2 linked regions of the Callithrix jacchus genome follow. Each later gene encodes a partner of the first gene's protein in a complex. Links are inferred from orthologs where the notes say so. Each region holds a gene or a part of one and is shown in the gene's direction. Other genes may lie near its edges.

Region 1 (4,985 bases):
ATGTATCGGGACTACCCCCTAGAACTATTCATGGCCCAGTGCTATGGCAACGTCAGTGACTTGGGCAAGGGGCGCCAGATGCCCGTCCACTACGGCTGCAAGGAGCGTCACTTCGTCACTATCTCCTCTCCACTGGCCACACAGATCCCTCAGGGTGAGGAAGCATGCCCTGGGCCTAGCATACATGCAGACCAGTGTCATGCCACTGTCCAGGCCCCAGCCCTTCTGCCTCCCTTCTGGGTAGAATTCTGGGTTGGTACCACCACCAGAGCCCTGGTGTATGTTCTAGACTTTGTTTGTTTGTTTGTTTGTTTTGAGATGGAGTCTTGCTCTGATGCCCAGGCTGGAGTGCAGTGGCATAATCTTGCCTCACTGCAACCTCCGCCTTCTGGGTTCAAGCGATTCTCCTGCCTCAAGCCTCCCAAGTAGCTGGGATTACAGGCATATACCACCATGCCCAGCTAATTTTTAGTAGAGATGGGGTTTCACCATGTTGGCCAGCCTGGTCTCAAACTCATGACCTCAAATCACCCACCTCGGTCTCCTAAAGTGTAGGAATTACAGGCATGAGCCACCGCGCCCAGCCTTTCTTTTCTTGTTTTGTTTTTTTAATAAAGATGGGATTTCACCATGATGGCCAGGCTGGTCTTGAACTCCTGACCTCAGGTGATCCAGCCACCTCGGCCTCCCAAAGTGCTAGGATTACAGGCATGAGCCACCACACCTGGCCTCTTTTTTTTTTTTTTTTTTTAAGGCAGACTCTTGCTCCATCGCTCAGGCTGGAGTGCCGTGGTGCGATCTTGGCTCACTGCAACCTCTGCTGCCCAGGTTCAAGCGATTCTCCTGCCTTAGTCTCCTGATTAGCTGAGACTACAGGTATGTACCACCATGCCCAGCTAATTTTTGTATTTTTCATTGAGGCAGGGTTTCACCATGTTGGCCAGGCTGATCTGAAACTCTTGACCTCAGGTGATTCGCCTGCCTCAGCCTCCCAAAGTGTTAAGATTACAGGCGTGAGCCACTGCACCCAGCCCACTTTTTTTTTTTTTGGTCTGAGACAGGGTTTGACTCTCTTCAGTCAGGTTGGAGTACAATGATGCAATCTCTGCTCACTGTAACCACCTCCTGGGCTCAAGTGATTCTCCTGACTTAGCCACCTAAGTAGCTGGGATTATGGGCATATGCCACTGCTTCTGGATGATTTTTTGTATTTTTTGTAGAGACAAGCTTTTACTACATTGGCCAGGCTGGTCATGAACTCCTGAGCTCAAGTGATCTGCCCGCCTTGGCCTCTCAAACTGCTGGGATTACAGGCGTGAACCACTGCACCCAGCCTGTGCTCCAGACTTTGAATGCACCTCTTGTCTGGGACCCTTTAGATGAGGGCTCTAGTGCTATCCCCACCACATTCAGGGGCCTGTGTGACCACACTCTGGATTTCTCAAACGCATGCCCGCTGCATTTATCTGCTCACAAACGTAGCCCACATGTTCCTGAGTGTTGCAAGGAGTGCCACTCCTTGCGTACTGGCACCAAGTTCCACTGTGCCGATGCTGCACGTTCATTGTATAACAGCACCCTCATTGTGGCCTTGGGAGCAGAGGTTATTATTTGCTCTTTTTCGTGTTTTAAAGAGCAGGAGGTCCATGTCCTGTGTGTGAGAGAGAGAGCAAGCGAGTGAGAAAAAAAAAGTGCAGGAAGCCTGGCCAACATTGCCAAGCCCTGTCCCTACTAAAAATACAAAAATTAGCCGGGCGTGGCATGCATCTGTAATCCTAGCTACTCGGGAGGCTGAAGCACTAAAAATACAAAAATTAGCCGGCCGTGGTGGTGCGCACCTGTAATCCCAGTTACTTGGGAGGCTGAAGCACTGAAAATACAAAAATTAACCGGCCGTGGTGGTGCGCACCTGTAATCCCAGCTACTTGGGAGGCTGAAGCAGGGGGATCACTTGAACTTGGGAGGCAGAGGCTGCAGTGAGCTGAGATCATGCTATGTCACTCTAGCCAGAGTGAGACCCTGTCAAAAAAAAACAAAAAACGGGAAATTGAAGTGAAAGAGGGAAGTCACTCGCTAACGGTTACATGGCAGAGACGGAGAGGAGCAGGGACTCCAGTCATGGACTCTGTGCCTCCAGAGCCTGGGTTCTCGGCCCTGATGTTTGTCTGCCTCAGTCCTCAGAGTCAAGCAAGCTTCCTCAAAGCTTACTGTAGGTGCCCTGAAGCCTCTTTTCTTATAAGGGTTTGTTTGGAAAGCAAACCCACTGGGTACCAGGTCTGCACCCTCATAGTGTGGAGACTAAGGAATCAGAACCCCTTCCTGCCCTCGGGGGCCTGTAGCCTGATGGAGGGTCAGTCTGGGCTCTGGCTTCTCTGCCCTAGGGCAGCCGAGATGCACGAAGTCTGTGTGTCTCCAGACCTCCGCACTGTACCTGGTGCTGCAGAGGGCTCTGCACCCCTTAGCTTAATATTCTGTTGGGGAACAAGAAGCAGTTCGAGCCTCTTAGGTGGGAGGTAGGCAGGGAAGCTTTCTCGGAGGCAGGGGCATTTGAGCTAAAGGTAATAGGGTTTCCACAAGGCTGGGGCCTGGTCCTAACCTTCCCTCTGGGCCCCTGCTAAGTCCCTTCAAATGTACAAATTTCTTGCCCTGTGCCGGTGCCACTCTAAAGTGCCGGGAACAAAAGCAACGCAAATCTCGGCCCTCCTGGTGCTGCCATTGTGGGGGAGACAGACAGTAACAAAGATGGAGAGGGAGCACCTGGAGTATGTGGGGGGGGGCGGGGGTCCTGCAGGGAGCAGCCAAGCCAGCAGGGAGTGGGGGACTGTGGCCATCACTAGAGTGACACTGAAGTATGGACCAGAGGTGAGGGAGGGAGCCATGTGGTGTCTTGAGGCAGGTGTGTGCCTGGTGTGTTTGAGGGGCAGGTGTGGGGTGGTTGGAGGTAAAGTCCAGGAGGCGGTGGGAGGGGTGCAGACTGTGCAGGTTGGGTGGGGCCTCAAGGCCTTTGCCTTTAGCAGGAACGTTGACTTTTACTCCGGGTGGGGAGGAGTCTGCTCCTCCTTGGCCTGGCTCCTGTTCATGGAGTTAGCAGTCTGCCCTGTGGGGAACGGATTGGGCAGCATGTGGTGGGCTAGCAAGGCAGCTGCTCGGTAACTTGGGCCTGAGCAGGGTGCTGCTGCAGAGGAAGAGGTGAGGGGTGTCAGGTTCTGAAGGGGAATGGGGGGAAGTTTGGCTTGGAGTCTTCGGCCTGAGCGGTTAGAAGGGTGGAGCTGCTCTCAGCGAGTGGGAGGAGACTTGGGCAGATGCTGGGGGGGGCATCAGGAGCTCAGGTTTTTTCTTTCCCCTCGAAGCCTAGGGCCTGCTGGCTGAGCCGCAGAGCCCTGGGTCACGTGAGTGTGAATGAGTGTGAGTCTCTGCCCCTGCTCACCACCCTCTCATCCTCTGCAGCGGTAGGGGCGGCCTATGCAGCCAAGCGGGCCAACGCCAACAGGGTCGTCATCTGTTACTTCGGCGAGGGGGCGGCCAGTGAGGGGGATGCCCACGCTGGCTTCAACTTTGCTGCCACACTCGAGTGCCCCATCATCTTCTTCTGCCGGAACAATGGCTATGCCATCTCCACACCCACCTCCGAGCAGTACCGTGGCGATGGCATTGGTATGCTGGCCGACCCTCACCCGGCCGGGATCATCTCCTTCCCTCCATTTCCCCACCTTCCTGGTTCTGGTCCTGTGTCCTGTGGCGTCTGGCACCTGGTCGGCCACGGGAGTCGAGGTCCTGAGCCCTCTGCCTTGCTCTCTCCTGCCCTCTCCCTGCTCATCCCCTCAGCCCCATGCATTTTCCTCATCTGAACCCTGGCCTGATCCGCCTTCTCTGTGTCCCCACAGCAGCACGAGGCCCCGGATATGGCATCCTGTCAATCCGTGTGGATGGCAATGATGTGTTTGCTGTGTACAACGCCACAAAGGAGGCCCGACGGCGGGCTGTGGCAGAGAACCAGCCCTTCCTCATCGAGGCCATGACCTACAGGTGCCCACTGCCCCCCCCCCCCGTCAGCTCCCCCAGAGTGCTGGCAGCCACCATGGCATCTTCCGTATATGGATCACCGTCCCCAAAACATGGCCTCATCACCTCACGTGTTGCATCTTCCCCTTGCCTTTATTCTGTTTCCATTCCTCCTTCCCTAGTCCATCCCCTGTCCTCCCTCCTGACCCCCACTCCAGGGAGCCCCACACTGACCTGGGGCCACTTTCCCTTGTGCAGGATCGGGCACCACAGCACCAGTGACGACAGCTCGGCATACCGCTCGGTGGACGAGGTCAATTACTGGGACAAGCAGGACCACCCCATCTCCCGGCTGCGGCACTACCTGCTGAGCCAAGGCTGGTGGGACGAGGAGCAGGAGAAGGCCTGGAGGAAGCAGTCCCGCAAGAAGGTGAGGGCGCCCTGCCGGGAGGGTATGCCAGGGGCTGCTTCGGCCTGCAGAGCTCAGGAAGGATTTACAGGGCACCGAACTAGGGGGCTCAGGAATGACCCTGATGATGTCTCAGATGTAGCCTGTGGAGCCAGGCTGCTGGGGCCACATGTGTCCTGGCTCTGTGTTTTTGGCACGTTGTCCTCCGCTTCTTTGTCCTTGAAGGAGGATGCTGGTGGTGCCCATTTCAGAAACTGATTCGAGGCTAGGCGCAGTGGCTCACACCTGTAATCCCAGCAGTTTGGGAGGCCGAGGCAGGCAGATCACTTGAGGTTGGGAGTTTGAGACCAGCCTGGCTAACATGGTGAAACCCCATCTCTACTAAAAATACAAAAATTAGGGCAGGGTGTGGCGGCTCACGCCTATAATCTTAGCACTTCGGGAGGCCAAGGCAGGTGGATCACCTGAGGTCAGAGATTTGAGACCAGCCTGGCCAACATGGTGAAACCTCATCTCTAATAAAAAAAAATTTAGTCGGGCACAGTGGAGGGTGCCTGTAATCCCAGCTGCTCAG
Region 2 (6,177 bases), on another chromosome or scaffold:
GAATCTAGAATTCAAATGTAATCATACTCTTGATCTTTTCTGGTTCACAAAATTACTGAAACTCCCATTTTTTTTTTTTTTGCATTTACTAGTTGCATTTAAAGATTACCTGATCTTTCTTTCTAAATTAGACTTCTGAAATTCCCAGAAAAGGACAGTTTACCAAATCTGTCCTTTACCAAATGGAGGAAAGTCCCATTCTAATACCATAGAGATTTTCATTGATATCAGGCAATTGGTGTGGTAGAGATGGGGTAAATTAAAAAAAAAAAAAGTAGTTTGTAAAGTAGGTGAATCTGGCAGGTGCTATCTTTGCTGTTCCTGGCTACATGTAGTTGGAAGTTCGCACCTCTTAGACCAGCATACAAAACCTTCAAAATCTCCCTTTAATCCGTTTTTTTCTACCTTCTCTGTTAACCCTGTATCATTCCCTATTCCCTGAATCTAGGAGCAGCAAGCTACCTTCTTTTCCTGGAAAGCACTGTGCTCTTCATGCCTATCAGCCTTTGCACAGGTCTTTTCTTAGTTTGGAATTCCTTTTCCTCCCTAGTCTGCCTGGTACCTTCTACTCATCTTTTAGGTCTGGCTCAGACCTGTTATTTCTGGAAACACTTGACTTTTAAAGAAGAGTTTATTGCTCTTTTTGTGTTTCACTTTGTTTGCACTATTCTAGGACCCCTATCACATTGGACTGTAGTTGTCTCTTTTTTTCTCTAATCTGTCTTTTTTTTTTTTTTTACCAACTTGGACATTTTAAAACTAAAACGATGACTTAATCTTATTTGTCTCAATGGTGGCTTGTCATTGGCTTGTATATAGCAGAGTTCCATAAGATTCCCATCAGTAGAAAAATAGAAAAACTATTTTTCTGTTTTTCTCCCAGACCTAAGTAATCTCAGCACCCCCAGGTCTGTTAACTATCAGTAAGTAGAAAAAAAAGCTCTATTCATATTTAACCTTGTTCTTTATTCTATTCTAAACACAAATTTGACTATGTAAGTGTAAGTTCATTTTGTTACCACTTTCTTTCATTAAAACAAAAATACTCTTCATGAGCTTGCAAAACACTCTAACCCACACTATTAAAACAGCAGAAGTGAATACTAACAAAAGCCAAGATCAAAAATTTCCCAAATGTTAAATTTTGGACTTAGTGTGGGAGTAGGAAAAATGGAGACATAATTTTGGTTCTACCTTAGGCAGTTTTTAATTGCTGTTTTTCAATCTCAGTCAGAAAACACATCTGTCTGCCCTCCCTTTCACCCAGTTTCTACTCTCTCCTCTCTTGCCCCTGTGCAAAACCAAAGGGGTTGAGAGGCCAGGTGTAAGGGAAGAGGAATGTTCTTTTCCTCCCTTTCTTCTTCAAATCTGTTTTGGGCCCATCCTTCCCCACCCACTCATTTTCATCTGACGTACACAGTCATGATTGCCTCTTGTCATTTTCGATTTTAAAATATCTCACATTTTTCATGTTTTTTTGGTATATTCATAGAGAAGGTATCCTGGTAAAACACTTCGATTAAAGCAAATTTACATAGTTGATTAGTATAAATAAAAATTAGTGGCTTAAATTCTCCAGGTTTCAATGCTACTTAGACTAAGCCAGTCTTGTAATTTTCGCTACTTCTGGGCAAAATGTATCTGAATTGCTATTCAGTGGATTTGAAGGATGAAATCTAAGTTTACCTCTTTCATCTCTCATTTAAATCTGGAAAAACAAAATCAATAAAAATTGATATATGCTTATTAAGCATTTAAAGGAGGGTGTGAATAAGGAGTGGAGGCTCTGAGCAGTGACTCCAGCAGTTTTCTGAAAGTCAAAACCAATAACCAATGCCAATCAGTAGCTCTCTTCAGCTTTCACACAATAATAGAGACAGAATAGGAGAGGATAAAAAAAGGGTTACATTAAAAAAAAAAGTATGGATCTTAAAATGAAAACAACCATTGGAAATGGCACTGTAGATGACACCAGTAAAGATCGCTTCCAGGCACTGTCTGGAACTTTGCAGACTCGGTCCTCAAGCCAAGCCCGCACAGCTGACGTCGGGGAGGCTCCACCCCAGAAACTATTTCCTTGGCTCCACCTCCGCCTCACCAAGCTCATTTTCCGCATGCGCACAAGGAGAAGAAGCGGGACGTCTCGTCACGTCCACTTCCCCGCCCCGGAATTTCCAGTTCCGATTGGTCCATTTCACGGGAACGCCCCTCTGGCCCGACCAATGTGGAAGCCGTCTCGGGTACTCCGCCCTCCCCACGGGCAGCGAGCGGCTGCAGTGCTTGAGAAACCCGGCGGCAAGCGGGGATGGCGGCTGTGGGTTCGGCTGCCAGCTGGCTGTTCAGGCTCAGGGCGGCAGGGGCTGAGGGGCACTGGCGTCGGCTCTGTGGCGCGGGCCTGGCGCGGGGCTTTCTGCACCCCGCCGCGACTGGCAAGGATGCGGCTCAGAGGCGGCAGGTGGCTCATTTCACTTTCCAGCCGGACCCGGAGCCCCGGGAGTACGGTGAGCCAGGGACTGCCCACCAGGTCTCGCTGTATCCCAGACTCCCAGGCTCTCCGACGCTCGCGAGGGGCAGGCAGCAATCCTTGCATCCCAGCTTAATCCTGCCTTACCTTCTAGAACCTCCCTGCCCCAGGGTCTAACTGTGATTCACTTCTTGTTCTAATTTTTGTCATTGTTCCGCCCTCGGGACGCAGCCCCCGCTCCCCCGCACCTTTGAGACGGGTGAGAGGGCATGCTGCTGTCTGGAAGGGCCTGAGGGTGGAGGGGTGGTGCCCAGGGAACGCCCCCCTTCCTTTCTCCTCTATCCTTGCTTTCTCAACTCAGGCCTTAGGTGTGTTCCAGCCTCTCTGGGATTGGGCCATTAGCTTTGGTGATATATATATATATATAGAGTAAGGATTCAGTGTTCATTTTTATTTTGTCCCTTGGTTTTTTCTTATCTACAGAAAAAAACCAAAAAAACCATATATATCCATGTGTGTATATATATATATATATATATTTTTTTTTTTTTTTTTTTCTGCTGAGACTAAGTAACTGAATTGATTTTCCCAAGGTTACAGAACAGGTTCTACCTAGAGATGAGAAAGAATCCAGACTTTCCATTTGAGCTTAATACTGAGCTTGTGCCTGCGCTCTGCTGCCACTTAGCCAAGGAGGTGAAGGTGGTGGGAGAAGGAAGCCATAGGAAGGAAATGTAGCAAACTCCTCATAGTGTGACTATTACATGATTTTTACCATTTCTGCAAGTTTCATGTAATGTTCTAAAGATCCAGTGTTTCTCATCAGAATATCAGGAAATTGTAGGGAAACATGTATTGCTTCCTTGTCTAATAACTTCTCACTTTGAGCTGACATTTTTGGAAGTGTGTCTTTCCTTGTGGATAAGAATGAAGATTTATTGAGTGCTTACCAGGGTCAGGCACTATGTGTACGTTTCATCATCTCATTTAAGGCTTAGCTTAGGACGACCTTAAAAGGTTAGTAATGTTTTTATTCCCGTTTTGCAGTTAGGTTAATGGAAGTCTTGAGACAGTTTGTCCAAGATTACACAGATAAGTTAGTGGTAGCTCCAAAGCTCCAGCTTTTGAATCTAATTGGTCAGATTCCAGAACTTCCAGTCTAAACAACGTACTAAAATGTGTGTAGATTTACTAGGAGGGTGTCTCGTGTAACAGTAGGTACCATAAAGGTTAATAGTAGGTTTTTTTTCCACAATCAAAATGAGCCCTGAATTCTGTCTTCAAAGCAAAGAAATTTTGGCCTAATACTTGAGAAATAGAGTACAGGTTTTCTTAATCCACCTTTCCATAGTTGTAAATTTACTAAAATCTAAGTAAAATGATACCATGTTTATAAGCTTATTCCTATCATAAAAATAATGCAAGCATATTACAGATAATTTGGATAATGGAGAAAAAGTAAAAAAAAAAAATCACCACCCATGACAGTAAATATTGCTAACATTTTGGTGTGTATCTTTTTTTTTTTTCATTTTATTTTGGTGTGTATCCTTACAGGTATTTCCTTTCAGTTTAGTATTTTCCATACTTTTAGTTTTAATACAAATACAACTTATTTAATCAGAAGCATTTTCCTAGAATGTAGTTTTTATAATGTTCTTGAGAATTTAGAAGAAATGTTCTGTGGAGTAAAGATGCTACAATTCTTTTACAAGTTAAAATCTTGATCCTGGAATCCAATTGTCCTAAGTTTGATCTTGTTTTGGCTATCTGTAACTTTGGAGTTATCCTCTATACGCCTCAGGTTCTTCATAATGTAAGGGGTTAATAATAGTACTTACTTCAGAAGGTTGTTATGAGGGCTACATAAAACAGTAGTAGTACTTAACACAGTGTTTGACAACTGAGAATCAATCATTCACTCCAGAAGTGGAACCATTAAATACTTATCATTATGTTTTTGTTGTTACAGTTTTGCAATTTTATAAATAATGCAGATATAAGCATTTCATGTATATGGCTTTTATGTATCTGAGATTATTTCTTTAGGATAGAGTCCTGAATGTTTTAATGGATTTTTAATGCATAGTTCAAATTTATACTCCAATTTATACCCCATGATATGTATGAGTGTGAGTATTGGATGTTAATTGCTAAAATCAGGTGTGTGCATGTACATTCTTGGGTATTTTGTGCTAAATGTACTTTGTTTTACTTTTTATTTGTTTCATTTCCATTGAGGAATATTTTCTTATGTTTTTGTTAACTTGATTTATTTTTAATTAAGAACTATTAGATGCATTTACATATTTTTAAAAGTATACTCAGTATTTTTCCCATCAATACCAATACTATCTACCATTATTGCATAGCTGCTCTTTTCCAGGTGTTGTGTTAGACATCAGTTTATAATCCTCACAGTAACCTTGTGAGCTAGATATTATTATGCTCATTTTAAAGATGAGAAAATTGAGGCTCAGAAATTTTAGTACTTGCCCAAGTCTGGTAAGTGGCAAAGCCAGAGTTTGAATCGTGATGTGTTTGACTCCAAAGCCTCCCATGCTACTTATATACTAATATTTTGTCTATTAAAAAATATTGAAGATACTTTCTGCTTTTCACATGTGATGCAAATACTTTTATTTTGGTTGTTTTGACATATAAATGGTACTCCTTAAATAGGAGGTAGTCAGATTAGATTCTGAATAGGTGACACTGATGCTGCTTTATGCTGGTATGTTTGCTGCCTTTATTACACTGTGTTGTTCTCTGAGAACAGTTCATCCTGGCCTTTCCATGCCCCTGATTCTTGAGTATTATATGGATGTGAGCTTGTTATTCAGTCATTCTGTGTATTTTTATTTTCTTCTGGATGCCAGACTCTGCTAGCTGCTAAGGATATGATCGTGGACCTGTTGGAGGGTAATCTGAATCTTCTTTTTGGACACTTTGTACCTTTGTCTCCCAGGAAATTCAAAGCTTTTGTGGTATTTTCATCCAGGGTTGGGCTACCCACAAGAAGGCCATCTGTGTAGTGGAATATACTCCTATTCCTTAATTGCAGACCCCTCATATCCCACTCTAAGGCTCAAGCAAAGAAAAGGGGGCTATCCTGAAAACCCTGGGGAAGTACTGTCTAAGTGTATTGTTGTTTTTCTTTGGTATTAGGATTTTCCCATTCAAAGGCAAAAAGGTATTGGGATTCTGGGGCCAGAGAAATGGAAAAGAAAGCATCTTTTAGGTTTAGGACTGAGAACATTTAGCATCCCCAGCACCTGAATCAGGAGATTATATGGATCTGACCAATGAGTGGACAGAGATAACAGCCTCATTAATTATTCTGAAGTCTTGTAGTAGCCAGTATTCCTCAGAAGGCTTTAGAACAGCAAAGGTGGCCCCCCCCCCCAAAAAAAAAGAACAGCAAAGGTGGGGGCATTGTAGGGAGAACTTCAGGATCTTAAGAGCCCATGAGTAAGTACTACCTCAGCTGTGGATGATAGGCCTTTTCCTTGCTTCCAGCTTAATCAGGTATTGTTTTTAATTGGGAAAATAAATAGCTGGGGTTTTTTAAGCTGTATTTTGACTGGCATTGTTGTTTAGCCTGTCCTGGTTTTCCAGTATACCATGACAGTGGGTTAACCTGTTTATTAATGTGGTTTGGGACATTGTCTGTATTTTTGACTATTAGCAATTTCACCAGATGATGCTTAAAT

What was found. The genes of interacting proteins can lie anywhere in the genome.
Region 2: the proteins of BCKDHA (region 1) and BCKDHB are in contact, whole or in part, in a crystal structure (PDB 1V16), measured with the Homo sapiens proteins. The link is inferred for Callithrix jacchus from reciprocal best matches to the Homo sapiens genes BCKDHA and BCKDHB. Residues at the interface, in NP_000700.1 of Homo sapiens: Phe155, Leu185, Gly186, Lys187, Arg189, Gln190, Gly196, Cys197, Lys198, Phe202, Val203, Thr204, Ser206, Pro208, Thr211, Pro214, Gln215, Val217, Gly218, Ala219, Tyr221, Ala222, Arg225, Gly244, Asp245, Ala248, Asn251, Phe252, Thr255, Leu256; in NP_000047.1 of Homo sapiens: Pro89, Thr90, Val92, Asp117, Arg118, Phe120, Asn121, Thr122, Pro123, Cys125, Gln127, Gly128, Ile129, Gly131, Phe132, Ile134, Gly135, Ile136, Val138, Thr139, Asp158, Gln159, Asn162, Glu163, Ala165, Tyr167, Arg168, Tyr169, Arg170, Ser171.

What each region holds. Positions count from the first base shown.
Region 1 is NC_133523.1:36,693,879-36,698,863, forward strand, and holds part of BCKDHA (2-oxoisovalerate dehydrogenase subunit alpha, mitochondrial), read left to right. Parts: coding exon 1-154; intron 155-3,447; coding exon 3,448-3,654; intron 3,655-3,884; coding exon 3,885-4,026; intron 4,027-4,136; exon of another isoform or gene 4,137-4,260; coding exon 4,261-4,432; exon of another isoform or gene 4,433-4,985. UniProt on the Homo sapiens protein: Together with BCKDHB forms the heterotetrameric E1 subunit of the mitochondrial branched-chain alpha-ketoacid dehydrogenase (BCKD) complex.
Region 2 is NC_133505.1:85,556,147-85,562,323, forward strand, and holds the start of BCKDHB (2-oxoisovalerate dehydrogenase subunit beta, mitochondrial), read left to right. Parts: upstream 1-2,282; 5' UTR 2,283-2,305; coding exon 2,306-2,501; intron 2,502-6,177. UniProt on the Homo sapiens protein: Together with BCKDHA forms the heterotetrameric E1 subunit of the mitochondrial branched-chain alpha-ketoacid dehydrogenase (BCKD) complex.